Rhinolophus ferrumequinum: one gene and its partners. The protein of the gene in region 1 interacts with the protein of each later gene in a pairwise test. Links are inferred from orthologs where the notes say so. Each region holds a gene or a part of one and is shown on either strand. Other genes may lie near its edges. The genes, in order: CIB3, SERTAD1, MEOX2 and KLF17.

What was found.
Region 2: the proteins of CIB3 (region 1) and SERTAD1 interact in binary tests that used the Homo sapiens proteins (3 or more experiments, as listed by UniProt). The two-hybrid records come from large-scale screens. The link is inferred for Rhinolophus ferrumequinum from reciprocal best matches to the Homo sapiens genes CIB3 and SERTAD1.
Region 3: the proteins of CIB3 (region 1) and MEOX2 interact in binary tests that used the Homo sapiens proteins (3 or more experiments, as listed by UniProt). The two-hybrid records come from large-scale screens. The link is inferred for Rhinolophus ferrumequinum from reciprocal best matches to the Homo sapiens genes CIB3 and MEOX2.
Region 4: the proteins of CIB3 (region 1) and KLF17 interact in binary tests that used the Homo sapiens proteins (3 or more experiments, as listed by UniProt). The two-hybrid records come from large-scale screens. The link is inferred for Rhinolophus ferrumequinum from reciprocal best matches to the Homo sapiens genes CIB3 and KLF17.

Annotation. Positions count from the first base shown.
Region 1 is NC_046301.1:49,780,214-49,787,238, reverse strand, and holds the start of CIB3 (calcium and integrin-binding family member 3), read left to right. Parts: upstream 1-4,013; 5' UTR 4,014-4,163; coding exon 4,164-4,214; intron 4,215-4,406; coding exon 4,407-4,441; intron 4,442-6,128; coding exon 6,129-6,240; intron 6,241-7,025. Other genes in the region: protein FAM32A, read right to left, coding at 1,788-1,929, 2,032-2,105. UniProt on the Homo sapiens protein: Acts a an auxiliary subunit of the sensory mechanoelectrical transduction (MET) channel in hair cells. Plays a role in regulating hair cell MET channel localization and function.
Region 2 is NC_046298.1:39,110,031-39,117,800, forward strand, and holds SERTAD1 (SERTA domain-containing protein 1), read right to left. Parts: upstream 3,003-7,770; 5' UTR 2,847-3,002; intron 1,129-2,846; coding exon 412-1,128; 3' UTR 73-411; downstream 1-72. UniProt on the Homo sapiens protein: Acts at E2F-responsive promoters as coregulator to integrate signals provided by PHD- and/or bromodomain-containing transcription factors. Stimulates E2F1/TFDP1 transcriptional activity.
Region 3 is NC_046303.1:23,143,558-23,151,164, reverse strand, and holds the start of MEOX2 (homeobox protein MOX-2), read right to left. Parts: upstream 3,004-7,607; 5' UTR 2,724-3,003; coding exon 2,210-2,723; intron 1-2,209. UniProt on the Homo sapiens protein: Mesodermal transcription factor that plays a key role in somitogenesis and somitogenesis and limb muscle differentiation. Required during limb development for normal appendicular muscle formation and for the normal regulation of myogenic genes.
Region 4 is NC_046292.1:31,183,703-31,191,081, forward strand, and holds the start of KLF17 (Krueppel-like factor 17), read left to right. Parts: upstream 1-4,363; coding exon 4,364-4,423; intron 4,424-7,379. UniProt on the Homo sapiens protein: Transcription repressor that binds to the promoter of target genes and prevents their expression. Acts as a negative regulator of epithelial-mesenchymal transition and metastasis in breast cancer.

The DNA of each region.
Region 1 (7,025 bases):
TCCTTCTCCCCAAAACTTTCTCCACTCGGCTCCTAAGGATACACACTCTCCTGATTTTCCTCCTTCCCATGATCCTTTGCAATTTCTTCTCTGCCACCTTCTAATCACCAGAGGTCAGACCTTATACCTTTTCTCTGTCACTGTTGCTCCTCAGAGGAGGTCATCCAGTTCTACAGCAACTCCCCGATGTTTATCTGGGGCTCAGATCTCTCCACTAAACTGCAGATTCAGAAATCAAACGCTCCACGAGAATTCTCCACTTGGATTACTAAAAGGGACCTCAAAGTTGACTTCTCTAAAACCAAGGTCTTGATCCCTCCCTTTAGAAACCTGCTTCACCCACAGTCCTTCCTATCTCAGTAAATGGCACCTTCCTTCACCCAGCTTCTCCTGCCCAAAATCTTGGTCATCCTTGATTCTTCTTTCCCAGCCCACACGCAACACGCAATCCATCAGCTGATCCTGCTGTCCTTCCTTCCAAATCTATCCCAAATTCGATACCTTCCATAGCTTCCACTATTACTGCCCACCTCTAAGAAGCCACTATTAATCGCACTGTAGGTTGCATTAGCCTCTTCCCCACTCCATTCCTGCTCCAGGAGTTATAGCCCAAGCCTGCCTCTGATTATAACTGTGGGAAGGGACTTAAGTACATTCACTTGTTAAATCCTCACCAAAAACTTACGAGGTAGGGACTTAAGCCCCACTTTCCTGATGAAGAAACTGAGGTGTGGGAGCTTAGCCAACTTGCCCAGAGTTACACCACCAAGACTGGAACCCAAAAGACAGTGCTTCTCATCTCTCTCTCTCTCTCTCTCTCTCTCTCTCTGTACTACTGAATTAAGCCTGAGAGCAATAAGTACAATTTTCCCCATGTCACTTGACGGCATCACCCAGACCAAGATTAGAGTTTTTCAGCCTGGTGCTTTGACATTTTGGGTACTGCGTTCTTCCCTGTAGGGGCACTATCTTGAGCACTGCAGAATGTTGAGTAGCATTCTGACCTCCACCCACTAGATGCTAGCAGCTCCCCTCCTGAGTTATGACAAAGAAAAATGTCTCCAAACATTGCCAAATGTCTTCTTGGGAAGGGAAGTAGGGGGACAAAATGGCCCTCAGTTGAGACCTATTAGTCCCTCCCCCCAGCGTAACGGGCCAAGCTTATCTAACGTTGCCCCCTCCTATGCCCCACCACCCACATTTATCGATATTTAGAAAAATAACAGACACTTAAAAACAACATATTTGAATCTGCCAACGAAGTCGTCACGGGAACAGAGTTTGTGGACACTTACAGCAGGGAGCACGACCATTTAACATCAACAGCTAACATCAACTGAGCAATGACTTTATACCAGACCTAGTGACAAATGCTTTACATGCCATCACAAAGCTCCCATTCCTTTTAGGAAAAAGTACGTATCTTGACCCCTACAGATGAGGAAACTGGGGCACGGAAAGAAGATGAGTCACTGGCCCAGTGTCACAGGGCAAAGGAGCGACAAACCCGGTCTCCAGCTCTGGCTCCTTTCAACGCCATCTCTAGCTCTCCCCTCTGCTGTCCCCTCGGGCTGAAGGTCCTTCCCGTTGTCCGAGCTCCCTCAGACGCGGACTCTTCCTCTTGCTCAGCATCTTTCCCCCGGAATTAAGATCATTTCTGACCGCTCGCCCTCCTCCAAGCATCCCGGGACTGTCCCGGTTCCGAGTCTCCGGGCTTTTCCTAAGCACCCACCCCGGAGACCCAGGCCCGCGGCGCGGGGCATCCCCAGCCTTTCCACCCGCCTCACCCGCTTCTCCTGCATCTTCTCGAAGGCCGCCTGGGCCGGGGTCCGCTTGTCCAGACCGCGCCGCTTCTCCTCCTCGTTCTTTTTGCTCGTTCCCATCGCTTCCAGGAGTTTCGCCTGGTCTTTGTCCTTCTTTTTCTTCTTCCTGGGAGGGAAAACAGAAGATGGAGTGAGGGCGGCCAGAGAGCAAGAGCCCGGGGTGTCGGAAAAAGGCTTACGGGGCAGACGATGGGCTTTCGGGACTCACCGCTTGGTCACGCCGACCTCTGCAACGCCTTTCAGCTTCAAGGGCCCCTTTTGGACCTGCTCGTAGGACGCCATGACGCCTGTCTGCAGTTCGCCAGGTAAACTGCCACACTTCCTGTTCACTGTTTCCGGAAGAACGCCTGCCTCCCTTGGTCTTGAGTGGCCCAGCTAGGCGTTGCGCATGCGTCCTTGGCCACACTTCCGGGTTGAGGGCTGAGCCTGCAGAGTCAGGCGCTATGGGCCACTCTGCACCCTGTGCCACACTTCCGGCTTTGGGCCCCACTTATGGTTTCTCCGCTTTTGGGTTCCTCTAGACAATTGAAACCAATTTGACAAACTCCAATTCTTAACACCCAACGCTTTTTTGAGTGTTTTGCATGTATTTGGATAGCCTGTTCTTTTTTATTGCCATATTTTGACGGTTCAATGGTTAATACGCATTTTAATTTGTACTGTTGCCCAAATTGTACCAGGGACTTGGGCAGGGTGGTGGTGGGAAAGGTAGGGGATGAAGGAGGTAGAAAAAGCAAGCATCCCCAAATCTAGACGACACTGGACCAAGGAGGGCTCGGTGCCTGCATTTCCCAGTTCTACCTGCAGGGGGCAGCAAGCGGCTGCCCAATTCTCCAGCCAAAGTCTCACCTTTTAGCATTTCAGAATTGGATGAGAATGCCAACAGAGAACCATGGGGGACTGCCAGCCTGTGCCAGCTTCCTCATGGGTCCATCCATGGTAGAATCAACTCCTCAGAGAGGGACACAGGAGAAACTCAAGTGGAGAAATCTCTTCTCCCCAGCCAACCCAGCAATTTTGGAGCTCGTCTACAGCGCTTCCAAGACTGTGTGCCCTGGAGCAAGTGGCTTGAAGTCTTTGAGCTTCCCTTTCCTCATAAAATGGGGGTGATGAAAACAACAGCTAATACTTTATATGGATTTACATGGATCATCTCATTTACTCTCACAGCCACCTTGTTACATAAACCATCCTGATTTTATTAGAGGAACTGAGGCACAAACTGGAATCCAACCTATGCTGAGTGTTCCATCCCTGCTTTTGTCACGACACTATGAAGCCATCCATCGTAGATGCATCAATATTTTACAAACATTTAAGACAGTATTTCTCAACCTTTTTTTCATTATCAACACCTAAAGAGAACACTTTAACTTAAATTCACTTAATAAGAAAAGTTAAATACTGATGAATAAGATTTTATCAGGGAGGGTAGAGCTTTGAAGGGCCAGAAACCATTGAAATATCTAAGGTTTTCTTGTCCCCACCCTGAACCAATTTTTTGTCTCCTTTGGGGTAATATTACTTCCACTGATAATTAATGTTCTAAGGGGAAATGTCATATGAGGTGTTTCCCATTTGAGGCTATTATGAATAAGACATTCATTACAGGTTTTTGTATGAACATAAATTTTCATTTCTCTGGGACTGCGCAAGAGTGCAAGTGCCGGGTCATATGATAGTTGCATGTTTTGTAATTTTATTTGATTGTGGCAAGAACACTTAACATGAGATCTATTGTCTTCAGAAATTGTTAAGTGTACACTACATTAATGTTGATGACAGGTACAATGTTGTACAAGTTTTTCATCTTGTTTAACTGAAACTTTATGCCCAGTGATTAATAAGTCCAATTTTTTGGTTGCATTAATGCCCTCATTAGATCTCAGAACAACTCTATGAAGTAGGTACAAAAATAATTTCCATCTTACAAAATGAGGCTCAGAGAGGTCAGGTGACTTGCCTGGGGCCACACAGCTAGTGGGTAGAGAACTAGTATTTGAGCTGGAATATGCTTGAAGCCTCTCCACCATAATGCCTGTCTCTGGAAGGTGCCCCCTCCCCCCAAGCCCACCTGGTGATGGCAGATGTGGTCTGAGGCTCTGTGACCTCCCACAGACTTTCTTCTTGCCCTGGTGGCCGTGGACATACTCAGACTGTTGGCCAGAGAGCTTGGCTGTAACTTGAGTCTCACCCAGGCTTGGGGTGATGGGGCGGGTGGGCGGGTGACAGCCAGGGCAGGGAGATTTGCCTAGACACTGGTGCGTGGCAGCCTGGCAACCGTGTGGCCCTGAGGAGCCTGGGGGCTTCAGGAGCCTGTTCCTGGCGGTGGCCTTCATCATGGGCAACAAGCAGACAGTCTTTACTCATGAGCAGCTGGAAGCGTATCAGGTGGGAGTAATGTGTGGGGCAGCTTTGGTTTCCTGGCCTGAGGAATGGGGGCAGCATCCCTTGGTCCTGGGTGGGCAGTCAGCAAGGGTTCCTGGTGCAGCTCTGTGTGTGGCATCGGCAGAGATGAGCAGGGGGAGGTGGGGAGAGGAAGCCCGGGTAGGGGCTGGGCCAAGCCAATGTCTCTCTCCCCAGGACTGTACCTTCTTCACGAGGAAGGAAATCATGAGGTCAGTCTGGGGAGGAAGGGAGGAAGACCCGGAAACAGCTTTCTATACGGTATTGGAGGATGTTTGGAATTTGACAAGGGCCAATGCTTCGTGGCAGTTAGAGAGCTAATGGTCAGTGGACAGAGGCAGAGATGGGGCGGCTGAGAAGCCACATCTGATCTTATTGTCTCGCCTGTAGGCTGACGAGCTTGGATTTTCTCCCAAGGGTGGCAGGGAGTCATGGAGAGTGTGTGAGCAGGGGAGAGACAGGTCAGCATGTTAGAAGGATCCCACCCCCCAGGCCTGTGTGAAGAGGCTGAGACTAGAGGCTGGGGGCACAGCTGCAGAGTCAAGAGGCAGCTCTGGGCTATGGGGTTGACGTCAAGGGGAGGGTACAGGGAGGCGCCCTGAGGCTGTTTCAGGTCCCTGGTGTGAGCGAGACAGACATAAATGGGTATCCCACATCATCACTTGGCCCAGGGAGCCATTGTCCAGAGGCCCTGACCCAGGAACTTGGAGCTGTGAAACCCAAGCTGGCCAGGGTTCGGCTGCAGAGTGATCGGGGCCAAGGGCCCAATTGTGTGGGCAACGGACATCCATTATTGATGGGCACACCTTTCACCAGTGAGCCCCATTGTCTGGGCGAAGACAGCTCGCAGGGTCACCCCGGCTATGATGATCGAATTACTGATGGGGAAACTGAGGCTCAGACAGGGGAGGCTGACCCCAACTCTGCAGATGGGATGAGTCCCAACGAGTTTGAGGGCGGATATTTCGTCTATCCCAAGCTTCTCGCTTGTCAGACAGACTAACTGAGGCTCAAAGGAGAAGAGGGACTTGCTCAAGGCCGTACAGCACCTCAAACTCGGGCTGTCCCTGGAGGGGACCCATCCGGTGGTCAAGACCGGATTCCAGATACTCCCTTCCTTGAGTACCTAGTCACCGTATGACCCAAAGGCTCCTGTCCCCTTCTGAGACAGTCTCTAGCAGCGTGGGGACTTCTCTATTAGGTCATCAAGGAAAATCTCTATTAGGGTGTTGCTCAGGGGCCCAATGAAGGAATGGTGTCACCAGGTGAGTGCATCATAGTTCAGAGCTGGCCTCCCAGTCGAGGTAGTGGGTATGGCATTTGGTGTTTTCCAAAATGCCTTTCAGTTACCCTTTTGAAAAGCCTGAATATTAGCCTTTGTCTCTGCTCTGCCTCATTGAGGGAATCCTGCCTCCCATTATGGAGGGGGAGAGGGAAAATGAGGAGGAGGGTCTTTAAAAACATGGTCTTGCTGACAAAGTGATGACGTCCAGAGATTCATAGGTCGGTTCAGATTCTCTCAATGCTTATTGTGAAATGATCTCGCCCTACGCACTCTCCCTTCTGTCAAGCCCATTTGCCTGGTGAGCTCCTAGTCATGCTTCCAAACCCAGCTCCAATGACCCCTCTTCCAGGAAGTCCTTCATCCTGTCTGGCTTGCTTCTCCGAGTCTGGTGTCCCCAAGCTCTGGGACTGTCTGTCTACCTTGGCTTTGTCCCCAGGGAGATAGAGGTGCCTGTGTGTTGCTCTGTGTGCCTGAAGGCTGGGCCCAGGACTGATGGCTCTTAGGGACCCAATATCCTTCAGTGTGGAGTGAGTAGCTGCAAGAGTGAGAGAAGAGGGACAAGTCCCCTCCCTCCCACCTCCCAGCACTTCCTGGTATTTCCCTCCCTACACTAGGCTCTTCTATCGCTACCAGGACCTGGCCCCCCAGCTTGTCCCCCTCGACTATACCAACTGCCCTGATGTGAAGGTGCCCTACGAGCTCATCGGCAGCATGCCTGAGCTGAAGGTATGGCCGGGTCATGGGGCAGGCAGGGGGAAAACACTAGAATTCCTTTGCTGCATGCCAATGAGGTGCAATGATTCCCATTTTGCAGACGAGAAAACTGAAGTACAGAGAGGTCAAGACACTTGTTCATGGCCATGAAGCCAGAACATGACAGAGACAGGATTCAAACCCTGGGTTGTTGGGAAGATGAGATGAGATCATGCTTAGCACAGGGTTTGTTGTATGGCAAGTACTCAGGGAACGTTAGTTCTTTTCATCGTACGAGCTGCTAATGTTCAACACATGGTTTGAAGGGGACTTGTGGAGTGAGTGACTGTGCCTAGAGATTATTGTATCACAAGGGACAAAAAGCTTACTCAAAAGGGACGCAATGGATTAGATCGCATGAGCAAAAAATCCAGAGGCAGGGCTAGCATCAGGTATGGCTGAAACCAGGGTCTCTGAGAATCTCTTTCCATCTCTCAGCTCCTAGGAAGAGGCCTCATTTTCAGGCAGTGTGTATGGCATTTGAGGTAGTGGATGGAGCCCTCAGAGGCCCCAGGTTTCCTCCTGTCAGCTCTACAACCATCAGAAAGCAGGTCCCTCCATCCCAATTTCTTCAGAAAACCTCCCAGGGCAGCCTCCAATTGGCTAGTTTGAGTCATGTGCCTATCCTAGAGCCAATCACGGTTGCCAGGTAAATGGAAGTCTCTGATTGGCCTCACCCAGGTCTTGTGGCTGCCGCTGCAGATGGAAGTGGGGTCAACACCACCCAGACCACAGGGACAGAGAGTGGAGTTGTCTGA
Region 2 (7,770 bases), on another chromosome or scaffold:
TCCACGGTCAATCAATATTAGAGGTTATTGTCTCACCCTCGCCTTAACCCAGAGACAAAGAAGCACACAGACTTAATATTTACCAGACCTGGTTTTTAATTTCATAAAACTGGTTGGGGTCTCTTCCCACATCTGGGAGAGAGTATCCCAGGCTAAGACCTCCGGGGAGTCAGTCCAGCACTGGGCCTCGTCCAATCACATTCCAGCCACCAGGCCCTATAGTCCATGGAGGACTGATCCCAGACTCCTCCCATCAGCCTGAGACAAGGGGACGGAGGTGAAGCTGCCAGGGACTGACTGTCTCTCTGAAGCATCCCTTTCTGTTCTAGAGGAGCCAGCCATGTCTTTCCAAGGACAGTTGTTTCAGCCACCAGGCTGTTTGGTCACCAGATAAACATCCCAGCCCTGGGGTCAGCGCCCCGGCCCTGGTGGCCGCTCCAGTGCCTGTGTGCCCACCAGCACATCCATGAGGTAGTCCAGCTCAGCCTCATCCAGCTCCGGGGCTTGTTCCTTGACCGGCCCATCCTCAGGCCCAGGTTTGAGGCCCTCAGAGGCTGGTGCCCAAAGTTCACTGTCATACATGGAAGTGTCAATGTCCTCAAACAGGCCCTCGAGCCCATCGTCCAGAAGACAGCCAGTAGCTGGGCCCAACAAGTCCAAGGCACCCAGGCCAGGGGGGGCTCCCCCCGTGGGGCGGCCAGGTGGCCCCTCGTCTGCCAAGGGCTGGGGGGCCTGGCTTAAACCCTCGATATGACTGAGGTCCTCCAGGAGGCTGGCCATGGAGGCTGAGAGGGCAGCGTCTGAACTAGCCAGCAAGTTGTCAGCCATGCCAGGGGCTGCAGGCACACTAGGCACAGGTGGCAGGGAGGCTGTGGGCACCATGGATGCCTGGATGCGCCGCAGCGTGTTCACTACCAGCACCAGGTGCCGCAAGTCTGGCTCACTCTGCCGCAGACTGTGATGAAGCTTGAGCACTGAAAGGTCAAAGAGGGAACTGGAGGCCACGGCCGGGGGTGCCTGTGCCACTGCTGGGTGGCTGGGATCCAGCCACCAGGCGTCCACTGCCAGGGCTTCCTTCTCCTCCTCCTCCTCCTCCCTCTTGCGCTTCAGGCCCTTGCTCAGCATCATCTGTGGGGAGACAAGTTCTTGAGTTACGGAAAGCCAATGTCAAGTTCAAACCCTGGTCTGACTACTGCTGCCTGTATGATCTTGGGCAAGTCACTTATCCTCTCTGAACCTAGGCTTTCTTAGAGAACCTTTACTATATGAATGATAATAGTCTACTTCCTAGAGTTGTTTTAAGGAATATATGAGATAATATCCAAAAACCACTACAACAGTGCCTGGTACATAGCAATTACTCTTATTCATAAGCACTATTATTATTAAGTATTATATTTCTTCAATGAACCATGTGAATTGTCCAGTATTCAACTTTTTTAACCTATAAAAGCAGCTGTTTCACATAGTTTAATCTAAGTTTATTGAGTATGTACTATGCATCAGACAATAAACAAATACAGGAAATGTACAGATGGTGTTAGGAAGATACTAAAAGGTTCTGGGGAGTGGTCAGGGAAGGCTCCTCAGAGGAGATAACATTTGAGTTAAGCTCTCAAGCATGAGAAGGAGTCAGCCATAGAAGAACGAGGGGAAAGCAATCCTAGAAGAGAGAACCACAGCAAAGGCAAAACAAGAGTTGGAGGCAGGATGAGCCTGTACTGAAAAAAGGCTAGTGTGTGCCAATTATACCTTAAAAAAAAAAAAAAAGACCAGTGTGGTCAGCGCACAGAGTGGCAAGGTGGGGGCAGGGGGGTGGGAAGGGTGGAGAATAGGCAGAGGCAAGGAGTTTGGATTTTATTGAGTGTGGTGGGAAGTCATTCAGGAGTTTTCAGCAGGAAGGGGAGTGGTGCTGTGAACTGATTAGGTTTCCAGAAGCTCCTCCTTGGCTACTTCGAGGATGGTGGTCGGGGGTGTAGGGAGAAGGGGGAGATCTATTCGGAGAGACTACTGCACTCTTTGGAGCAATGACGGTGGCTTGGAGTAGAGGGTGGTAGTGGACATGGAAGGAAGTTGGTCGATTCAGGATTTATTTGGGAGGCAGAGTAGACAGAGCTTGCCGGGAAATCCTGATGGGCACGGGAATCACTGAGAAAACTTTGAGGACCCACACTTTCCTTCGGGCGGGATGTGGGGGGGTCCCTGGAGTTCTAGACCACTGGCCCAAGCTTTTTTTTTGAGGAAGACAGCCTGCACGGTCCAGTCCCCGGACCCTTACCCAGTAGGACCTTAACAGTGACCCCTCATACTACTCAGAACTGGGTCCTCGTCTCCTTCCCCGTAGACCCGAGAGTCCGGAACCGCAGGAATTCAGCCCCCACCCCCACTCTAACTCCGCCCCCCTGTCCCCGCGCCCCCTAGTGGCCCCAAGCGGGCCTTCCCCCGGGGATTCCAGCCCCTCAGACCCCAGGACCCTGTACACCGCCCCCCGTCCTGGCTGTCGTTCCTGCCTGCCTGCCAGGGCAGTGCAGGCCAGGATCCCGTGGGCTGCTTTGCCCTCTCGGCCTCCGCTCGCTACCGGAAGGCAGTGGAGGCGGCGCCTCCCGAAGCGGCGGCGGGGGCGGGTGAGTCACGCAGCCGGAGCCAGAGAGCCGGCGCCTCCGCCCCCTTCCCGGGCTGCGGCGTGATTCACCCGGCCCGGCCAAGGCGGGCGGCATTTAGAGGCCCGCGCTTCTCGATCCCGGTCCGTCCCGGCACGCACCTGCCGGGCGCGGGGATCGAACCTGCCAAAGACTAAGCCGCCGGTACCCCTTCATTCCCTAGGCCCCTTTCCTTCATTTACATACCCAGTTCACCAGCTGCCAATCAGAACGAAGAGGGAGCCACCCGCAGCCAATCAGGAAGCGGCGGCGGCAGCATCACTTGCTAGCTCTCCTTCGGCAACCGGCGCCTGGGTCGCGAGACGTAGTTCTGACTCCAGCGCACGACTCCAGGCTCCTGACTCCTCTTAGCTACCGCCCACTACCGTAGCGGCCCCGCCCTACACCCAGGGATTGGCCCTGGACGGTTATGGGAGGAGCCTGTAGGGGGCAGGTTCGAAGGGAGGGAAGGTTGTATTCAGGGCGCATGCCCGGGCTCCTGCGTAAGGGTAGAGTAGAAGGTAGGGTGGCTCTTTGCTCTGGTAGGTTGTGGCAGGGAGGGGGTTTTTGCTTATCAAGGTGCAGGCCACTCACACCAACGCATGCGCTTGCCAAACTTAGCAATTGAGCTTCTTACACACCCAGCCCCAACAGGGGTCTACACTCTAGGCCAGATAGGCCTGGGTTCAAATTCTGACTCATCACTCACTTGATGTGTGACCCTAGAAAAACGCTTGACCTCTTAACCACACGAAGTCTATTAAATGGGGATCTTCTTGCCTACCTCTTGAGTTAGGAAAATTAAAATAAGATCGCATCCGTAAGAGCACTATACTAGACTCGGCAAATTTTGGGCAGTTGGACTCAAAGGTGGGAGTCAAAAGATGAGAGTGGGGGGATGCCACTGGGGTCGTATATTGGGCGCCATTCCCTAAGTAGCTGAGTGACCTTGAGCAAAGGTTTTAGTCCCTTAGAGTCTCGGTTTCCTCATCTTTATTAAAATGGAGATAGCATCTGGTGCAGAAGATTGATTTAAGGATTAAATTGAATAATTTGTGCAAAATGCTCAGAGTGGTGCACAATGTGTCCTTTTGTTAGTAGTAATAGCTGTTGTAGTGATAGAACAGGCACTTAGTTCAAGGGGGAGCACGTGGGATGGGGTATAAGTAGACAGGAGTTTAATACTTGTCTGATAGACTGAAAATGGGACTTACCTTCTTCAAGTAGAGTAGATCATTTGCTAACTCTGCTGGAGCTGTGGGAAGAACTGTTAGTTGTGAATAACACTCCTGGCCAAAGTAAGTGCTCAAAAAGTGCAAACTATACTATGCAGCATTATTTATAATTGCCAAAATATCGGAGCAACCTAGGTTTCCATCGATAGACGAATGGATAAAGAGGATGTGGTACATATTGTCAATGTAAGAATGTTCAAACCTGTAGATAATTTTTATGAGTTTATGTGAGCCAAACCGACAACATGCTGGGAAGCAAGATCTCAAATGCTCCCTCCAGCAAATGACAGTTTTGCAGCGTCTATTATGCATTTGGAATTAAATATGGAATATTTCTTCATCTTTTCTAAGTGCTAGAAATCTTTCATAATAAAAAGAGGGTAAAATGATCATTAGAGCCAGGCCCATGCTAGGAAAATTCAAATTATTTCCCCCACAGCCTATCTTGTTGGCCAGGAAAAGGAAGCACAGTCTCCAAGAGGCTTGCTCCACGTCGTACATGGAAGAGCTCACAAGAGTCATTTGATTAACATGTACAAGAATTTATTGACCGCCTACTAGGTGGTGTACACTGTTGTAAATGATGGGGTATACTGGATAAACCTCACAGGGTCTCACTTCTTATGGATTAGGGGAGGGGTGGAAAGAAAAGAAATATGAAAAGAGGTGACATGGAGTAGAGACTTGGTGAAATGAGAGAGGTAGTGAGGAAGGGTCCAGCCAGAAGGAAGGGCCAATGTGAAGGCCGGGTTGTGGGCGTGTGCTGGAGGCCCGTGTAGTTGGTCTGTATGCTGTCGGGAGCAGGTCAGAGACGTTTTTAGGCCCTTCTGAGTACTCTACGGACCTTTGTTTTTCATTCTGAGTGGGATGAGAAGACCCTGGAAGATTAATAAATGAGGAAGATAATCTCTGCCTCCGTTCAGTGACTTGAAGAAAACAAAATAGGATGGGGTTAATAGAGAGGCTTGGGGAGAAGTATCTGTAGCCAGGGTGGTCCCGTGGAGGTGACTTTGAAGCTGAGACCAGAAAGTGGAGAAGGATCCTGAAATTCAAAGAGCTGGGGGAAGGGAGAAGGAAAGAGGCCGGGCTTTAGGAAGTGAAACTAGTAGCGAAGCTACCGGGCCCAGCAGTCCTGGGGAGGAGCCTCAGCCAGCTGAGAAGGGAGGGGGATGGGGGAGCGCCCCGCCCTAGCCGGCTGCCCCACCCGGCCTCTGGGGAGGGAGGAGGCGCCGGGCCGGCTCCCGACTGCCGCCGCCTCCGGGTATCCCGCCCAGAGCGAGCCCAGGGCGGTGGGTGGGCAGCGGGGAGAGACGGGGCCTCCCTGCCTATGCCCTTAGGTGGCCGCGGCCCATCCTCCACCGAAGGACAGCGCGGGAGGGCAGGTTGGGGAACGTGGACTCTGCCCTCGGGACCCAGTTCTCTCTGCCGTGCCAGCCTTTCCACTTCTCTCGCCAGTTCTTGAACACGGCAGGAGCTCGCTCTCTCTGAGCCTCAGTTTCTTCATCTGGAAAGTGGGGGTGCTCCTCATACTGGCCTCACTGTGGTTATCTTTAGAGCAGTTAAGGAGAGCCTATTTAAACGGGAGTCAGGTCTTGCCCCCCCCACACACTCTGCTCAACACCCTCCTATGGCTACCATTTCACTCAGCGTGGAGTTCAGGTCCTCCCTGTGGGACTCCCTTAGACCTTACATGATTTAGACCCCTCAGCACTTTCACCTCCTCCTAGTACTCTTCCCTCTTGCTCACTCTGCTCCAGCCACACTGACCTCCACACCCTCTCTCAAATGCTCCACACGTCGGAGCCTTCACCCTGGCTGTTCCCTCTGCCAGGATGTCCCCCACAGATTCATTTGGCTCACTTCTCACCTCCTTCAGGTCTTTATTCCAATGTCACCTTGTCACTGAGGCCTTCTTTAGCCATTCCATCTACATAGCGACACCCCCTCATCACATTCCTGCTTTCTTTTTCTCTACAGCATTTGTTACTTACCTTTTGTGTTTATTTCAGCCTCCCCCCACTATGATGCTATATGAGAGCAGGAACTGTTTTACTCACATGCATGGAAGAGTGCCAGGCCCACAGTAAGCACTCAGTAAATTCGAGCAATTATTGGAATCCTCAGTGTGCATTAGGCCCCCTTTTACACACTTTGCACAGTCGCTTAATGAGGCAGGTAATACTCCACGTCTTGATGTTGGGACATGCTGGTGTATTTGAAGGATGGCAGAGAATAGTGTGGCTGGAGCATGGGAGCGAAGGAGTATGGGGGAGATGAGTACAGAGAGGTGGCAGGGAGGGTTGGCCATGGTGAGATCAGGAGTTCATTTTTTCAACAATAGCAAAAATGGACTTTTTTTTGAGTGCCCACCTGTGCCATGCATAGTTCTACTCACTGGGGGATACAGCTGGGCTAAGACCGACGAAACCCCTTCCTCTCAGTTTCCAATAAACCAAGAGGCAACCATAAAAAGGTAATAATTTGAGCTTGAATAGGTGCTACTATGAAAATCAAACAGAATGTGATTAATCAAACAGGGGTGGTAGTGCATCTGGACATGTTGAGCTCGGAAAGGCAGGGAAGGCCACTGAGAAGGGGAGAGTTGGATTGGTGAAGCTGTGGGGGAAATGTCTTCTGGGGAGTTAACAGCAAGTGGAAAGGCCCCAGGGACAAAATTAGGTTGGGGTCAAAGGAGACCAATGTGGCTGGAGGCGAGTAAGGGACAGTGGGAGACTAAACTGAGGAACAAGACTATCAGGTCTCAAAGGCCTTGGTGAAGTTGGGATTTTATTGAGTAGGAGAAGTCACTGTAAGTTTTAAGTAGGAAAAAGACACGATCCAGTGGGCATCCATATTGAGATGCGGAACTTCTGTGCCTTCTTGAGATCCTCTGTACCACCTCCTCTTTCTTGATTGGCACCTACCTGTTAAGTTACCCCACTGCTTTCAGACTTCAATGCAATGCCCCTCTAAGGGTGAGAATCTGGCTTTGAGCCAGAAAGCACAGGCAAAATCCCCCTCCTTTCCCTGCCTGTGGACTATGCCAAGGTGTGGTTCCTCCTTGCAACGCTTCCAGAAAAGTCCCTAATGCGTAGTCACCTGCTGCCATGTCCTCAAGTGTTTGTGGAAACATAGCCAGTTCAGCAGCAATGTTATCACATTGTATCTTCCCTAGCCTCTCTTCTCTTTTCCCCTCACTCTCACCAGCCTGGGTTTGTACCTACCAAATAGTTAAAAACCATAACTTTAGCCTGGCTCTACTTCCTAACCTGGTTTTCTGAAAAACCATTCAGCACTGGGAATCTTTGGGCATTTTTCTCCTCTGGGGTTCAGCAGCACATTTTATACAAATGAAAGGGTTGACAAAATTTTAACTGTCAGAAAGTCCTATCCTGGGCCAACCTGGTGGCTCAGGTGGTTGGAGCTCTGCGCTCCTAATGCAGAATGTCGTGGGTTCGATTCCCACGTGGGCCAGTGAGCTGCGCCCTCTACAGCTAAGATTGTGAACAACAGCTCTCCCTGGAGCTGTTGGGCAGCCGTGAGCACCGGGAGGTTGGCCTAAGCTGCGGTGGGCTGCCTCGGGCTACTGTGTGCCACGGTGAGGCGGCCGCAGCAGCCAGCCAGAGCTGCCAGGAGCTGCTGTGAGTGGCCAGACGACTGGCGACCAACTGCTTCAGTGGGGGCGGGGGGGGGGGTCAGGGAGCACAAGGCTCACAATACCAGCATGGGCCAGGGAGCTGTGTCCTACACAACTAGACTGAGAAACAGATTGAACCGTAGTGGGGGGGATAGGGGAGGTGGAAGAAGGGGGGAAAAAAAGTCCCATCCTTTGACAGGTAATTGACCTGACTCAGTTTCTCCAGGTGGCTGGGGAGTCTAAATCTACCAAGCAGCAG
Region 3 (7,607 bases), on another chromosome or scaffold:
TCCAACAAATATTAATTAACTCAAATAATGAAATTGCAAATTAAATTTTATTTTCATTAACTAGACATATTTTTACATTATATAGATTTTTAACTAGACACTATTGTGATATTTCCTTTTAGTTAGTCAAAATTTCTTTCAAAATATCTCATCAAAGAAAACACTCATTCTTCCTCCCCAGTGATTCTATCCTTGGTGATAACTAACCGTGTTTCCCACTTAAGATGTAATCTTAATATTTTATGTAGTTGACGCAAACTTTTGTGTTTGTTTATTTTTCCAGTACTCTAATTATTCATTGTTATATTAATTTGGTTATTTCCCACCAACGGAGAGCAAAACTATTGATATAACCAATGTTCTTAAGAAAGTTGTTATTAAAATAATTTAAGGGAAACAGTTCTTAGATCCCACTTTTTCTGTTTCCTCCCAACCAAAATAACACGTGTCTATATGAAAATTCAGTTTGCCCTAAGAAAGTTAGGTACAGTGGTGCAGTTCAGGAAGCAGAAGGAACAATCCATCACACAGATTTCTCATTGCAGAAAGTAAAATGAACAGTAAGAGCTTCTTGATAATTGCAAAAGTGCACTGACCAATCCGAACTCGGCTCTGTTTCCAAAAGCAGTTTTATTGCTATCAAATTTTGAGTCTATGAAAGGATCACTACATTCTAAAATTGACTTATTTTCTAATGAAGAAGGAAAATTGCTTGCTATGATTAACCTTTCAACTTTGTCTTAAGAGTTTTACTTATGGTTAGTAAAAACCATTAAATATGAGTGATACCGCTGGTAACTTTCTCAGATATAAGCTAATTTGCGAGTCAAGCATTAAAAGTTCACCTTTGACCTTGGCAAGTAAAAGTTAGATTTCCCATAACTAACGGTGAAGAACAATTGATAGCATTGCTGCAAAGGAACCTGAAATGTGCGGCTGAATCATTGTCATTTAACGAGGAATCGTACCTAAAGAATTATAAAGCATAAACATGTCGTCAATCCTTCAAACCAATATTTGGAATTACCTTCTAGGACTGTTAAACCAATTCCGCAAAGGTAGAAAAATATGTAAATACTATATTAAACAAATGACACCTTCCAAAAAGACGGAACTCAGGTTGCGCTATAGCTGCAGAAGAAAACTCGGAACCCCCTTAATTGTGAAGCATCTTTTAACAATTTCATAATGAGACACCTAGGTAAGGGCTTTTCGGAAGTAACCTGGAAAACTTTAGTTTCTCTGGATTGCTACAGTTTCCTTGGCGACTGTGCCTTCAAGCATCCGCGTTCAGCAAGGTTCCCCTTTTGCGTGGCTATTCAATTGATCCCCACGTAGATGAGCGCCTCCTGCGCGCACCCGTGAATACCAGCCTCAGAGATGCAGCGAACTTGCACTACTGGGGTTGCTGTTTGTTTCCCAGTACTTGTCTCCGATAATTCTCAATTGGAAGAGAATATCACTTTCCACCTTTGAAATTCAGATTCTCTCTTAAGACTAGTACCACACCAATGCAATTACTATTAAGACTCGTCTTTCTTCAAGAGTCTGAGCATGTATTTATTTACAATTCTCTGATACGTTCTTTAAAATCCTTTGAATTCCTACATTAGGTCTTCTTCCCCAAGAAAGGGAAATTTTTACCATTTGGAATAGGTACTATTTAAAGTACTCTGAAATCAGAAATAAAAAATAAATAAATAAATAAACTTTTTTTTTCTCATACTCTCTGCCAAGTTCCATTGCAAGTTCCAAATATTGTGCAATAATTTGGAAATCCGGTTAACGATGGGAAAAATCGAGCCACTCAGAGTCGGGAATTTGCAAGGGAAAAAGTCAAGGAGCGACACCCGCACGCACGCTCAGCGAACGCTGCATCCCAGGGTGCACTCCTCTCCCTATCGCTCAGAGGGAAAGTCACGCTTCTCAATCGATTTCACATACTGTCACTTGTCCTTTTTTTTTCTTTTCTCAATACTCTGGTAAACCACTTTGAACCTTGGAGAGGTTTCTGCTGTTGGCTACAGTGTTGCGCTCGGAGAAACACGTGTCCCCCAATAACAGGACCAAAGCAGCCTCACGGAATTTAGCGGCGGGAAGCCAGAAAGGGCAAGACCTGCGCCGTCTTTCCTGCTGCCTCACTATTGAGAGAGAATCTTCCTGGACATCTCTCCGCCCCTTTCGCCCAAGGTGCCCGTCGCGCCCTTACCTGAGCTATCGCTTTTCCTCTTGCCGCCACTTCTCTTCTCCGCCTCCGCGGGTGACAGCGCCTGGCGGCCGTAGTCCCCCGGCGCGCACGCGGCCCCGGTCGGGGTGCTGGAACCCAAGCTGGAAGAGTTGGAACACAGGACTGGCGGGCTGCTCCCCATCTCCGGGGGCCCTCCCGAGTCCGGCTGGAGGCAGAGACTGTGCCGAGCCGCGCTCGGGGGGGAGGACATCTGCGGGAGGTGCCAGTTGGTTTGCAGAGCTTGGTGCTGCTGCTGCTGGTGGTGGTGGTGATGGTGATGATGGTGGTGGTGGTGGCCCCTGTGATGTTGGCTGGCGAACATGCCCTCCTCGTTGGGGTATCCCGCGATTATGCAAGACGAGGAAGAAGTGGAGAGCTCGGGATAGGACATATGGTCAGATCTTCCATGGAGGGCGAGAGAGGACTGGGAGAACGGGTGCAAGCCTTGCGCGGTGGCGTGAGGGCTGCGCAGGCAGCCAAAGAGCGGGTGTTCCATAGCATGCAAGTCTCGGGTTCCAGGCAGAAGACTTCACGACGGTTCCAAACGCCACCACCTTCTGTCACTTTTCACTGGACACCGTGTGACTTTTCCCCCTCCCAGAGCAATAGCCGCCCGCGTTTCTGCAGAGCTCTGATAATCCCGGTCCTGAGCCCTAGTGGCCAGTCTCCTTTACATATAAACACTCTGACCTGAAGGAGCTTCCCTCTGAGCTACTCAGATGTCAAGAGTAGGAGAGGTTGAAGCCAAAAGAAGGTGGTCCCAGAGAACTGCTTTCAGGGGGAAACGGCTCTGAGAGGTTATAAATAGAGTGTAATGTGAGCTGGGGGCTGGCTTAGGAGCCCAGCGCTGACCACATGCAAACTCCCTCCAAAACTCCGGCTCAGTCTGAGAGCCACGCGCTCCCAGTTCCACTTCCTAACCCGCTGGACTCACTCAGCGAGTCCACGCCCGCCCGCCCCTGTCGGCCGCCAGGCGTGCAAGCGGCGCGCCGGGCGCCTGAACCCGAGCCGCGGGGCAGCGGCTCGCCTCCCCCGGCGCGGGCGGCAAAGGCGCGCGGCGGTGCACGCCAGCCACAGCCCCTCACCCGGTGCCCAGCGCGCTCGCTTCTCTCAGTAAAGGTGTCTTGTCAGTGCCACTTGGACACTGTCACCTGCGGGAAAGATAGGGTTACGCCTAGCTCTTGAGGAGCACGAAAGGGAGCTAGTTTGGCTTCGCGTTTCCTCATGTCCTGGGCGCAGTGGCGCGCCTAACTTTTTGCAGGTGGTGTTTGTGGGTGCGTTGATAATGGGTTCGGACACCAGATCCGAAGTTGCAGGGATGTGCCCGGCGGGCGGGAAATAGCCATTCTGAATGCGGAAAGGAGAGATCTATTGGCGGCGGGGATTGGGGGGTAGGTAGCACCGGGCAGGACAGCTGCAGATGTCCAGGCTCTGGCAGTGTCACCTGCGGTGCCAGGTGGGGTCTCTTCTCCCCTGCTTACCTCAAATGCCTTGTCCCCTGCTTTCCTGGTCCCGGTGAATTTCCTAGTCACGTGTCCACTAAGAACTGTCCCTGGGTCAGGAATATTCCAAAGCGACTTCGTCCCGGTCACATGAGATGTGTATATTGCACGCACATTTCCAATCTTTCCCCTTAGGAGCCAGCCCATGTCCCATCATATACCTCCAGAAATCCACCCTCTCCGGTCAAAAATAAATCAGCTGATAGCACCCCTTGCCCCTCTCCGGCTCTGGTCGTGGTTCCATTTACTGAGAAATATTACATTTTGATAGCCCCCGCCTCCCTTAAGTTCAGTAAATTGGGAATTTTATATCTACCTGGTTAATCTTGCATCATAGAAAATGAGTTAGAAAACTTGCCACCAATGAATTAGCGCGAGCGACAGCTGGACTTTGATTCTGCCACTTGAGAGGCGACATTGTCTGCTGGGGGCAGAGTCCTTTACACGAGGCAAGCAAGCCCCGGTAACGAGCTGCAGGAACAGTCGAGTCCTGCCTGGGACAGGTCGCATCAGGAGAATATCCGTGCTCACCTATCCCGCCCAAGACCCGGAATGTGAATGTGCCACCAGCAGCGTCGCCTCCTTATTTTCATTGTCTCTGGTGTCCCGAGGATGGGGAACAGGTCTTTGAAGTTGTTAATGGGGTTAATGGGGACAGCAAACTAGGCCGGCCATCTGTTTTGAATTAGGGCAAAAGTATTGATTAATCTTTGAGAAGTGTTCCCAAGGCAGGACCTTTTCCCTCGCCCAGTCCCTCAGGCTTTCAGTCTATCTCCCTTTTCTTTTAAGTCGTACAGCAGAATAGTGGCTTCGCAATAAACCTTTACATTCGTGTGAAAGTTCGAATTGTTTTCCATGGCTTAGAGGTGGGACAGGGAGGGGGTGATCAGGAATTCTGAGATTTGTAAGTGCTGCTTTCTTTAACGGAAATTGAGCCCTATTTTGAGGGAAATTAGTTTTGCAGACTTCGTTAAAAAAAAAAAAAAAAAAAAAGCTAAAACTTTTGTTCACCAGCTGCTCAGCTTTTCAGTCTGGGTCTGAGCTGGAACCTGCTGCAAGCATTTGACGGTAAGACTTTCTTTGCCGATATTTTGGGAATCTAATATTGTTTTAGACTTCGAAAGGGGGTGTTCTTCAGGTTGCACGTTTCTAAGGGTTTTAAGCACTCACAGGATGGCGTCCAGAGCTTAGATCTTAAGAATGTTTCTTCCTGCCACTCCCCATGCCCTTGGCTCTTTAAGGATAAAAAAGGAGGGGGTATATTCTTCTAATATTGTCGGAATATTTTTTGAATTTTCATTGTGTTTATGGTTTCAATATGTGCCCTGATATTAAAAGTTGAAGTACAAAGGGCAACACTAAACTTCCCAAACTCGGATGGCTCCTCCATGGATTCTGGGTGAAAGCATTAAAGGCTTTATCCAGAGAGAAATTTAGGCAACCACCTCCATAAACAGTAACCAGAAATATTTACATAATACAGTGCTGTCTACTAAAAGCATTGTGGAAAATGTCAGGCAAGACTAAAGATACACTTGATCTGCAGACATCAATAAAAAACACCCATAAAGGTCCTTTTGGTTTGCATTATAGTGGTTTAGAGAAAGCAAGCAATTGAGAAGTGAATGGATTTGAATTTACCCAGTGTGTTGCAGGTAACTAGCAACTAGCAAAAACACACAAACTTTTCATCTCCAGAAGCTGCCTCTTTTTCTTGAACCTGCCTGGTGACTTTGCTGGCTTTTTTCTCACTCACTGTGTCAGATGTTAACAACATGTCCAGAAATTTCTGTACAGCATGCCTTAGTCAGTCAGCCTCTGGAACTGTGGGGCTAGAAGTATGGGAGAGGAAAAAAAAAAGTAGAAAAGATTAGAAAGGGAAGAGTCTCTGTAAAAGGCACACATTAAAATAAAGCTAACAGGAATAGTCTTTCTAATTGAAGACCCAAAATATATAATATCAGTGAAATTATGGAGTCCATATTTCTAATAAAAAGCATAATATAAGGAAAATGTTATTTGGAAGAGAAAAAAATGTGATTCAAAGGAGAAAGGACTAAAAAAGAGTTCTTGATACACTCCAAAATTAATATGACTTTTTTTCCTCTGAATTTCCAAGTATATATTAATCACCTCATAAGTTTTTTTTCCCCCCAAATTTTCATTGCTTAGGATTATTGGAATACAATAAAACACTGATTTTATTTTCTATACCATAATTTTTTGAAAAATACAATAACAGGAAAAATCCCTAGCATTTCCTATAAAGCTACTTTAGGGTCCACATCAACAAAATCTGATGTTGAAAGTTGCTTTTTCACCTATATCATGAACAATGGTAAAAATCACAAAATTTATTATAGAATTTACATAGCATTAATTTTAAACTATATATAATATAGTATTGATCATATATGTAAAATATACTTGAATTTTCCTGAAAAATATTCTATTAATAACAGTATTTTATGCAAGGTTTGATATCAAGCAGCACATTATAACAAGAGGGTGAATATATGAAAAATGTAAGTTGCTCATCTTTTGTAAGAAACATAATCAAAATTACTTTAAACACATGCTCTTTAAATTTGATAAACACACATACCTATTATTTCTTCTGTTTGAATGAAGTGATATTCAATAATAATGCAAAGATATTTTTAATTAAAATTACTTGAAGTGTAATAGAGCTTAAGCAATGTGAAAACTTTGTTTAAATTTTATTTTCAGAATCATGATTCTTTTGAGTTGCCATTCTTCTGTTCATTTGACATGAGGTATGATGGTAATAAAATATTTAAAATTAAATATGATCATTAGCTACAGATATTATAAACTTTACTTTGCATTTTACCTGCTAAATTTGCCTAGGTAAAATACAGTCATAATATATAAATTTAAGTATGGAAAATTAAATTGAAGCTGGAATTTGTCTCTGAAGGTTTTGCTGAGGATAAAAATATTATTTCTGCTATATTTCTCGAAGAAATAACATGCCCTTGAACTGGTTTTTATGAAATAAAGAATTTTGAAAATATTAATAGATGCTAAATACCCAATAATTTATATGATTTATGATACACTCCTCTTTTTAAAACTAGGAAATTGCCTTTCTCCGTGAATTATGCATTATAAAATTTGAAGAACAATTTTGCTATGGCTAATGCAGGTTATTTAGTGATTCTATATACTGTTCTGATTTTTAAATAACACTTTTTACATAACACTAATTGTTTTCACAAAAAAATTGTTGTGTTTCTATATATACTACAAGAAATGAATACTTAAACATGACTTCTGAAAGTGTAAAATAATATCTAACATATTTTATTTTTATAATTCTATCTCTTCCTACTTTTAGATATATGATTTCTTTCAGAAGTTGGTGATTTTCTTCAATTCAGTTCAAGTGCCATGTAGGAAATAATTTTCAGAAAACTGGAATGAAATACAGATTATGACTGATTTAATTAAAAATTCAAAATACATGCATTTTTCCATAATTCCACTTGCTTTTCACATACATTTTATGAAATTCTAATTATGTGTGTGTAGGGGGAGTGTTAAAATTAGGAAGATGTTGACTACGTTTCAAATTTAAAAACTTCTGATTGAACTTCCTTTTGTTCACCTGTTTTGCCTCCAATTATTGAAGAAAATTTTCTTATATTGATGTACATGGGGAGTAATTACCTCCAATTCCTACATTTTCATTTGCACTCACTTTGTATGTTATTTTCATTAATAAATGTATGCATTGAAATTTTTTACAGTTGAAAATTGACTCCTTTGCATGCCTAACTATAAGATATACAGGTACACTAATGCAAGACAGTTCTATAATGAAATACTATGTTATGTTATATATTCTATACCAT
Region 4 (7,379 bases), on another chromosome or scaffold:
AGTGCGAATGTAAATTGGTACAGTCAGTATGGAAACAGTATGGAGATTCCTCAAAAAAATAAAAATAGAACTACCATATGATCCAGCAATTCTATTTCTGGGTATTTATCTGAAGGAAAAGCAAATACTAATTCTCGAAAAGCTATATGCACCCTCAGGTTCATTGCTGCATTATTTACGATACTGCAGCAATGAACATGAGGGTGTGCAACAGGGAAGCAACTTAAGTGTCCATCGATGGATGACTGGATAAAGAAAATGTTGGATACATATATACAATGGAATATTATTCGCCCATAAAAAAGAAGGAAATCTTGCCATTCACAACAACATGGATGGATCTTGAGGGCATTATGTTAAGTGAAACAAGTCAGACGGAGAAAGATAAATACTGTATGATCTCACTTATATGTGGAATCTAAAACAAAACACTGAACTCACACTGAGAACAAATTGGTTGTTGTCAGAGGTAGGTGGTGGGTATGGGTGAAATGAGTGAAGGTGGTCAAAAGGTGCAAACTTCTAGTTATAAGATAAATAGGGGGGTGGTAGATGACGGTAAAGGGGATCCAATATATGGTGATGGAAAGAGAACTGACTCTGGGCGGTGAACACACAATGTGACATATAGACGATGTAATACAGAATTGTACACCTGAAATCTATGTAACTTTACTAACAATTGTCACCCCAATAAACTTTAATTAAAAAAAAAAGATAAATAAGTTCCGGGGTTGTAATGTACAGCATGGTGACTATAGTTAATAATACTGTATTGTATATTTGAAAGTCACTGAGAAATCTTAAAGTTTTCATCACAACAACAGCAGAAAAATGTAACTGTGGTGTTGGATGTTAACTAGACTTATTGTGGTGATCATTTCACAAAATATACAAATATCAAATCCTTATGTATGTGTGCACCTGAAACGAATACAATGTTGTATGTCAATTATAGCTCAATAGAAAATAAAGAAAAAAATCCCACAAAAATTGGTACAAGTTTACATTAGCATACTTTTATTACGGACCATTTAATAAACATTGTATTTTGCATAGAAGTTAATTTGGAGAATGCCGTTTTTTGGTCGCCCGAACACACACAGACTCAGCCACATATGTTTGGAGCTGACTTTAGGCACAGGTCATACCGCCAACCCCGGTGTTATTAGTTCTCCCTGCATTTACACAGTAGCTTCAGAACAAACAATCATGATTTACAGTCAGTGATTATAAAGGCAAAGAGATAGAACTTGACTTATTTCAATTCTGTCATTCAATGTAACCATTTGGAGTTTTGGGTAAAAACAGTGAAACAGTGCAAAATGAGAGGCAAAATATTTTCGTTTGGTTAAGTGCCAATTTTAGTTCATAGATGAACTATTTTACTGGATTTAAATCATACTTTTAAAATGGAAATTATTCTTTAAATATTGTTAGTTGTTTTAAAATGAAAGATAAATCAGGAAAATAATAAATGTTATGTCAGTGGTACAGTTCAGCAGTTTTGTGAACTAAAATTCACTTTAGTTATTGGCGGATCATTTACATAGGATATTATATCAGTCTACAACTAAAGGATCAAAGTTCAAACAATTAGATAGATGTGGAAATAAATAGTTGTACTTTTTTCATTTTCTGAACCATAATACTAATTGTTTTATTTATTTTACTGGCATGAATATACATATAAAACTTTGTAAAAGAAAATTTTTCACTTCTACATTTCTTTTCTGGCCATTATTATTATTCATTTCATTTCCTAATCATTTGCAAATATTAAATTTGAATTATGAAAATAGTTTTATCCTATAGAAGAGTGGTGTGTTAAAAAATGATCTGCTCCATGTATCAAATATGATTCATTCCACAAATATTTTCTTAGTGCTGTGACGGGAGGAAACACTAGGTGCATGGTAACTGGAAGAGGCATCAAATGGAAATCAGACATGGTCCATAGAGGTGATACCTGAGCAGGTATTCTCCATAGAAGCAGAGCCACTATTTCTCAAGGACCTGCTCTCAGCCCCAACCCATGCTAGTAGCTAGAGACACTAAGGTACTTAAGACTCTTGTTACCCAACCTGTTACAATAGAGCAAATGTCCCTGCATTCACCAAAGGCCCACTTGTCTATTTGTACCCTGAGTCCTGTCCTTTTGTACCCTGAGTCCTGTCCTTTTTTGACTTATCAGTGTTGCTCCTATAATTTTTCTCTCTCTCTCTCTCTCTGCTTCGGTATTGGTTTCTTTTTATTGGTGGATCCCCGTCAGCCTCCCTTAATCCCCATTCCAACTACCACCTCATTTCTCTGGCCCCATTCATAGAAAAACATCTTTGAAAGAGTTGATTATAGTGTCTCAGTATCTCCATCTCAGCAGCACCTACCTGTTTTCTTTTCCCCACTCCAGTTAACTTCTATCTCCTCTGTAACTGTTTTTGTCAAAGTCGCCAAAGACCTCCATCTTGCCAAATCCAATAGGCACTCACCTGGTTCTTAGCAACATTTGATGCAGTCGAACAGTCCCTTTTTTTTTTTTTTTAAGATTTTATTGGAGAAGGGGAACAGGACTTTATTGGGGAACAGTGTGTACTTCCAGGATTTTTTCCAAGTCAGGTTGTTGTCCTTTCAGTCTTAGTTGTGGAGGGTGCAGTTCAGCTCCAGGTCCAGTTGCTGTTGTTAGTTGCAGGGGGTGCAGCCCACTGTCCCTTGTGGGAGTCGATCCCGCAACCTTGTGGTTGAGAGCCCACGGGCCCATGTGGGAATCGAACCGGCAGCCTTCGGAGTTAGGAGCACGGAGCTCCAACCGCCTGAGCCACCAGGCCCGCCCAACAAGTCCCTTTTTTTAAATACAGGCATGTTGAAATATGTATCCACTCTAATGGCCTTATAACCACCATGTCTAATGCTGTAAACACCTAAACTTACATTTACAGTTCTAGCCTCTCCCTGAGGATATTTAGTAGCCATCTCAAAACCAACGTATCTAAAATGGAATTCTTATTTCAGCTGCTTCCAAAGCTCTTCCCATATTTCCATATCCCCATTGGTGCAGTCATCACTCAGTTGCTCAAGCCAATAATCTAGGAATCATGTTTGATGCCTCTTTTCCTCCCAGCCCTTTCCCATTCCAACCCATTATTAAGTCCTATCTCATTTAATGTAAAAATATTCTCTAATCACCATCACCAACCTCCACCAAATACTGACATATTTTTTGGCGAGATTCTTTTGCTTTCTAATTCGTGTTCCTGCTTCCATCTTGTCCCCTATAATCCATAAACCTCAAAGTAACCCAATGACTATTTCAAAAACTTAGATCACATCAGTTTCCTGCTTAATATCCTTCAGTGGCTTCCTATCACTTAGAATAAAATCCGAACTACCAGCCAGGATCTTCAACACCCTGCCCGTCTCGATCCTCAGCTCATTCTTCTCTCCTGCCTGCACATATCACCGAGGTCGCCTGGGCGTCCTGATTTCCCTCTGGCACGGCAACCAAGTTCTTTCTTGCCCTAGATCCCTCCAATCTTCCTATGCATGACTCCTTTTAGGCCCTTAGTTCTCAGCTCACATTTCAATATTATGTTTTTTTCCATAGTACTGGCCACCATTTATAATTATTGACTTGATTAAATTCATTTGTCTGCTCATTTAGGATGAAAATTCCTGAGAGCAAGGACTTTATTCTGTCTTGTTTGCCATTGTATCCCTAGTTCCAAATCACAGAGCCCATCACGATAGGTACTGGATAAGTATGGTAGAATAAAGACATTGTACCACGGAGCTCCCAGTCTTGGGTTTGTACAAGGGACAGAGAGGTACCTGGCAAAGAAGATCCAGGCCTCTGGGAGCTTATGACAAGAGCCGTAATCTGGTGGGCTGGTAGTGGAGGCTCTCCTGTCTGCAGAGATCCTACACCCCATCTGCCATTCTCTCCAGCCTCCTTCCCCATTTCTCCACTCAAGAGATCAACAAAGCCTGGCTGGAACTCTGAAACCTCGGGTCCCCACCCCCATTTGGGCCAAGCAGAAATGCTTAGGCTTAAGGGTGGATGGGGAGGTAGGATGGGATAGACCTAACACTTATGGAGTGGTCAAGGTAAGCGGTCCTGTTAGTGGCCCTGCTGAGTCTGGACAGGCTGAACCCGGCAGGGTGGGGCAGCCTCCGCTGGGTGGGTCGAAGGGTGCGGCCTTTGGCTCCGCCCCCCCAGCGCGGCGGGAAGTAGAAGCCGAGCGCCGTGATTGTGGCGTGGAGGTGCAGCGACAACTGACCTGCGACGCCGTGGCGGCGGGGCTCAGCTCTCCTCGGATGTGGTTTGGACCCGCACACAGTCCCGAGGTGCTGTGGATCCCAGGCTGAGATGGAGCAGAAGGCCCAAGGGCTGAGCCACTGGCCGGCAGCTCAGCACCAGTTCTCAGAGGTGGGGCGGGCGTCAGCCCCAGGGCAGGGCGTGGGGGCTGGAGTAACGAGGCTGCGGGAGTGGAGGGAAGCAGACCCCTGGGCATTAGGAGTTGAAGGAAGAGGTTGGGAGGGATGGGAGATCGAGGACCGAAATCGTGTGTCGTTTATCGAATTAATACTCACCGAGCCTAAGTAAGAGCCTGTGTCGGGCGCTGGGCGTGAAAAGGTCCCAGGAGAGGGATCTGAGTACTGAGGAAAGGAGACAAAAGTTAGGAAGTTAGCGGGAAACGGGTAGGAGGAAAAAATTAAATATTTATTGGAGCCCTTCTAAGTGGTAGGCCTTTGCCAGACCCTGGGAATACAACGGTGAGTTTACCATAAGACACTATACCATTTTATTGATAAATAGCTTAATGATTAGCAGTACAAATTGTTGTGATGGAGAAGTACAGGGGCCACGGGAGCAAATAGAGATGTTTAATCTGATTTAGGAGGCCAAGAAGACAGCTACGGATTTGGTCTGGGACTGGAGAACTGGTTCGGTGAAGGGTTTGTGGGTCCTGAGACCAGAGACAGGATACCGCTACCTTGGAGAAAGTGAAAGATGGACTATGGGACTGAAGGCCAAGAGAGTGACGGGAGAGTGGCCCAAGGGGAGGGGAGGCAGGGACCCCCGCACCATCGCGGTCGTGCGGGGCTTGAGTTGGTCATTCCAAGAGCAGTAGGAAGCCATTGATGAGTTTAACCATGATCAGTCACAATTAGATTTGAATTTTTTTTAACCTAGATTTAAATGTTTTTAAAAGAGTCCCCTGGCGAATGTGGGCAGAATTACAGGCAATAGTTAGAACGCCGTGTGATAATCCGAGCAGGAATTAAGATGGCGGCCCCACAGAGAGGTGAGAGTGGAGATGGAAATCCTGGAGATGTTTTGGAGGTAGACTCTACAATGTGGTGATTACGTGGATCTAGGTGGTGAGGCACACCCAGGACAACAGATTTCTAGCCTGTACAATCAAGTGAGAATAGTGGTGACATCTGAGAGCGGAAAAAGATGAGAAGAAACAGGATTAATAGATTAACCCCCCCAACCCCCCACCCCGGGGGTGGGTTGGGAGGGGTGCAAGGACGCTCCTGTGTATTGGACAGTCCAAAGTGACTGTGGCTATTCAAACGGACTGAGCATTAAGTAACTGGAAGATTCAGGAGAGGTCTGCCCTGGAGCATCGATTTAAGAATAATTGGAATGTAAACAGAAATGGATCATTAGCATGAGAAAGATTGCCCGAGAGTAGCTTAAGGAAAACCTGCAAAGGAAAAGGAGGGCTGGAGAGAAGGGAAGGAGAAAAACTAGGCAAGAGCGTCATTGTGTTCCTGAGGCCAAGGGAAAGAACCATTTCAAGAAGAGTGACTTCCCAACCTCAGAAGCTCCTGAGAGGTCCAGCAAAGAGGAGTCTGGCAAGGTTTTGGACTTAGTGACAGGGAAGTCATCGGTGACCTATATTTGGGCTGGTTCTGTGGAGAGATGGGGCCCTGAGTGAATTTGGGGGAATAATAAGGCCAAGGTAGTGGTGAAGGTGTGTTTCGCCATCTCCAAAGATTTTTACCTATGAAGGATCAGGCAAATAAAAGAGGGCCATTACTGAGAGGGAGGGAAAAGGGGCTGAGCACCCCAGAAATACCCATCTAAAAGACATTTGAGGGCTATAGTGTGCCTACTTTACGCTAGATGCTGAGCATATAATGGTGAATAAAACAGGATTTCCCCAACCCTTCTAGGATTTAAAAAAAATTGTTTTCCCTCCATAGTCAAAACATTATCAAACCTATCAAAATTAGTGATAATCTCTTAATACATCTTAGATGCAATTATTATTCAAATTCCCCTAGTTGTTCCTAAAATGTCCTTTAGAGCTGATATGTTCAAACCAGGATCCAATTTAAGACCACACACTGCATCTGCTTATTACGTCCGTTGGGTCTCTTTGAAATTAGAATAGTTTTCTTTTTTCCTGACTGACTTTCTTTTTTCATGATCCTAATTTTTTTCTTATAGACTCCATTTTCTGGATTTACCAGATTGCTTTTTCATGATGTAATTTAGCTTGATCATCTATCTCTTGTATTATCTCTTAGAGTGAGATCTTAAAGCTTAATTGGGTTCCTGATTTTTGGTAAGACTGCCTCATAGGTACAGTAGGCTTCATCTTGCATTACATCAGAAGACTCATCTGGCTCCCCACAATTTGGTGACACTAGGCTTGGTCCTTAAATTAAGGTCGCAAAAACCCTGTTGGTCTCTATTCAAATTTATTTTTAGGCTTGCTGTCAGAAAGTAATCTGTGTAATGTTACCTTGGCTGCATCCAAATGATCAGTTCCCCAGCAATCATTCAGCTACTGGTTTCAACCAAATATTTTTTCCTTGATCAAAAGTTTTTTTAGGGGTTGTAAAATAATGATTTTCTAATTCTACCATTCCTTCTACATTTATTAGTTTGTATTCTTCTGTAAACTACTGGAATTAGTTGGTGATTTTGAAATAACAGTTTCCTACTGGAAAGACAGAATAAATACGAAATTCTTTCACTTCAGTTCACAATGGCTGACACTGGGATAATAGCTTACCCTTTGTCACTTTTGGATCGTGAGTTTTCAGATTCAATCTATTAAAATCAACAATCATTGTTCTTTTTGATTCTCAAATTTTCACAAATTTGGCCAGTGGGGACCCCTTCTGTGTCCTTTTAAAAAACATTTTTAAAAATTGTGGTAAGATCTACATAACATAAAAATATCATTATAACCATGTTTAAGTGTATGGTGGCATTAATCATATTCACATTATTGGGCAACTGTCACCACCATCCATCTCCAGAATTTTTTTCATCTTCCCAAACTGAAACTCCTTAACCATTAAACTGACTTCCGAATCTCCTCTCCATCCCCCAGTTGCTGGCAATCACCATTTTACTT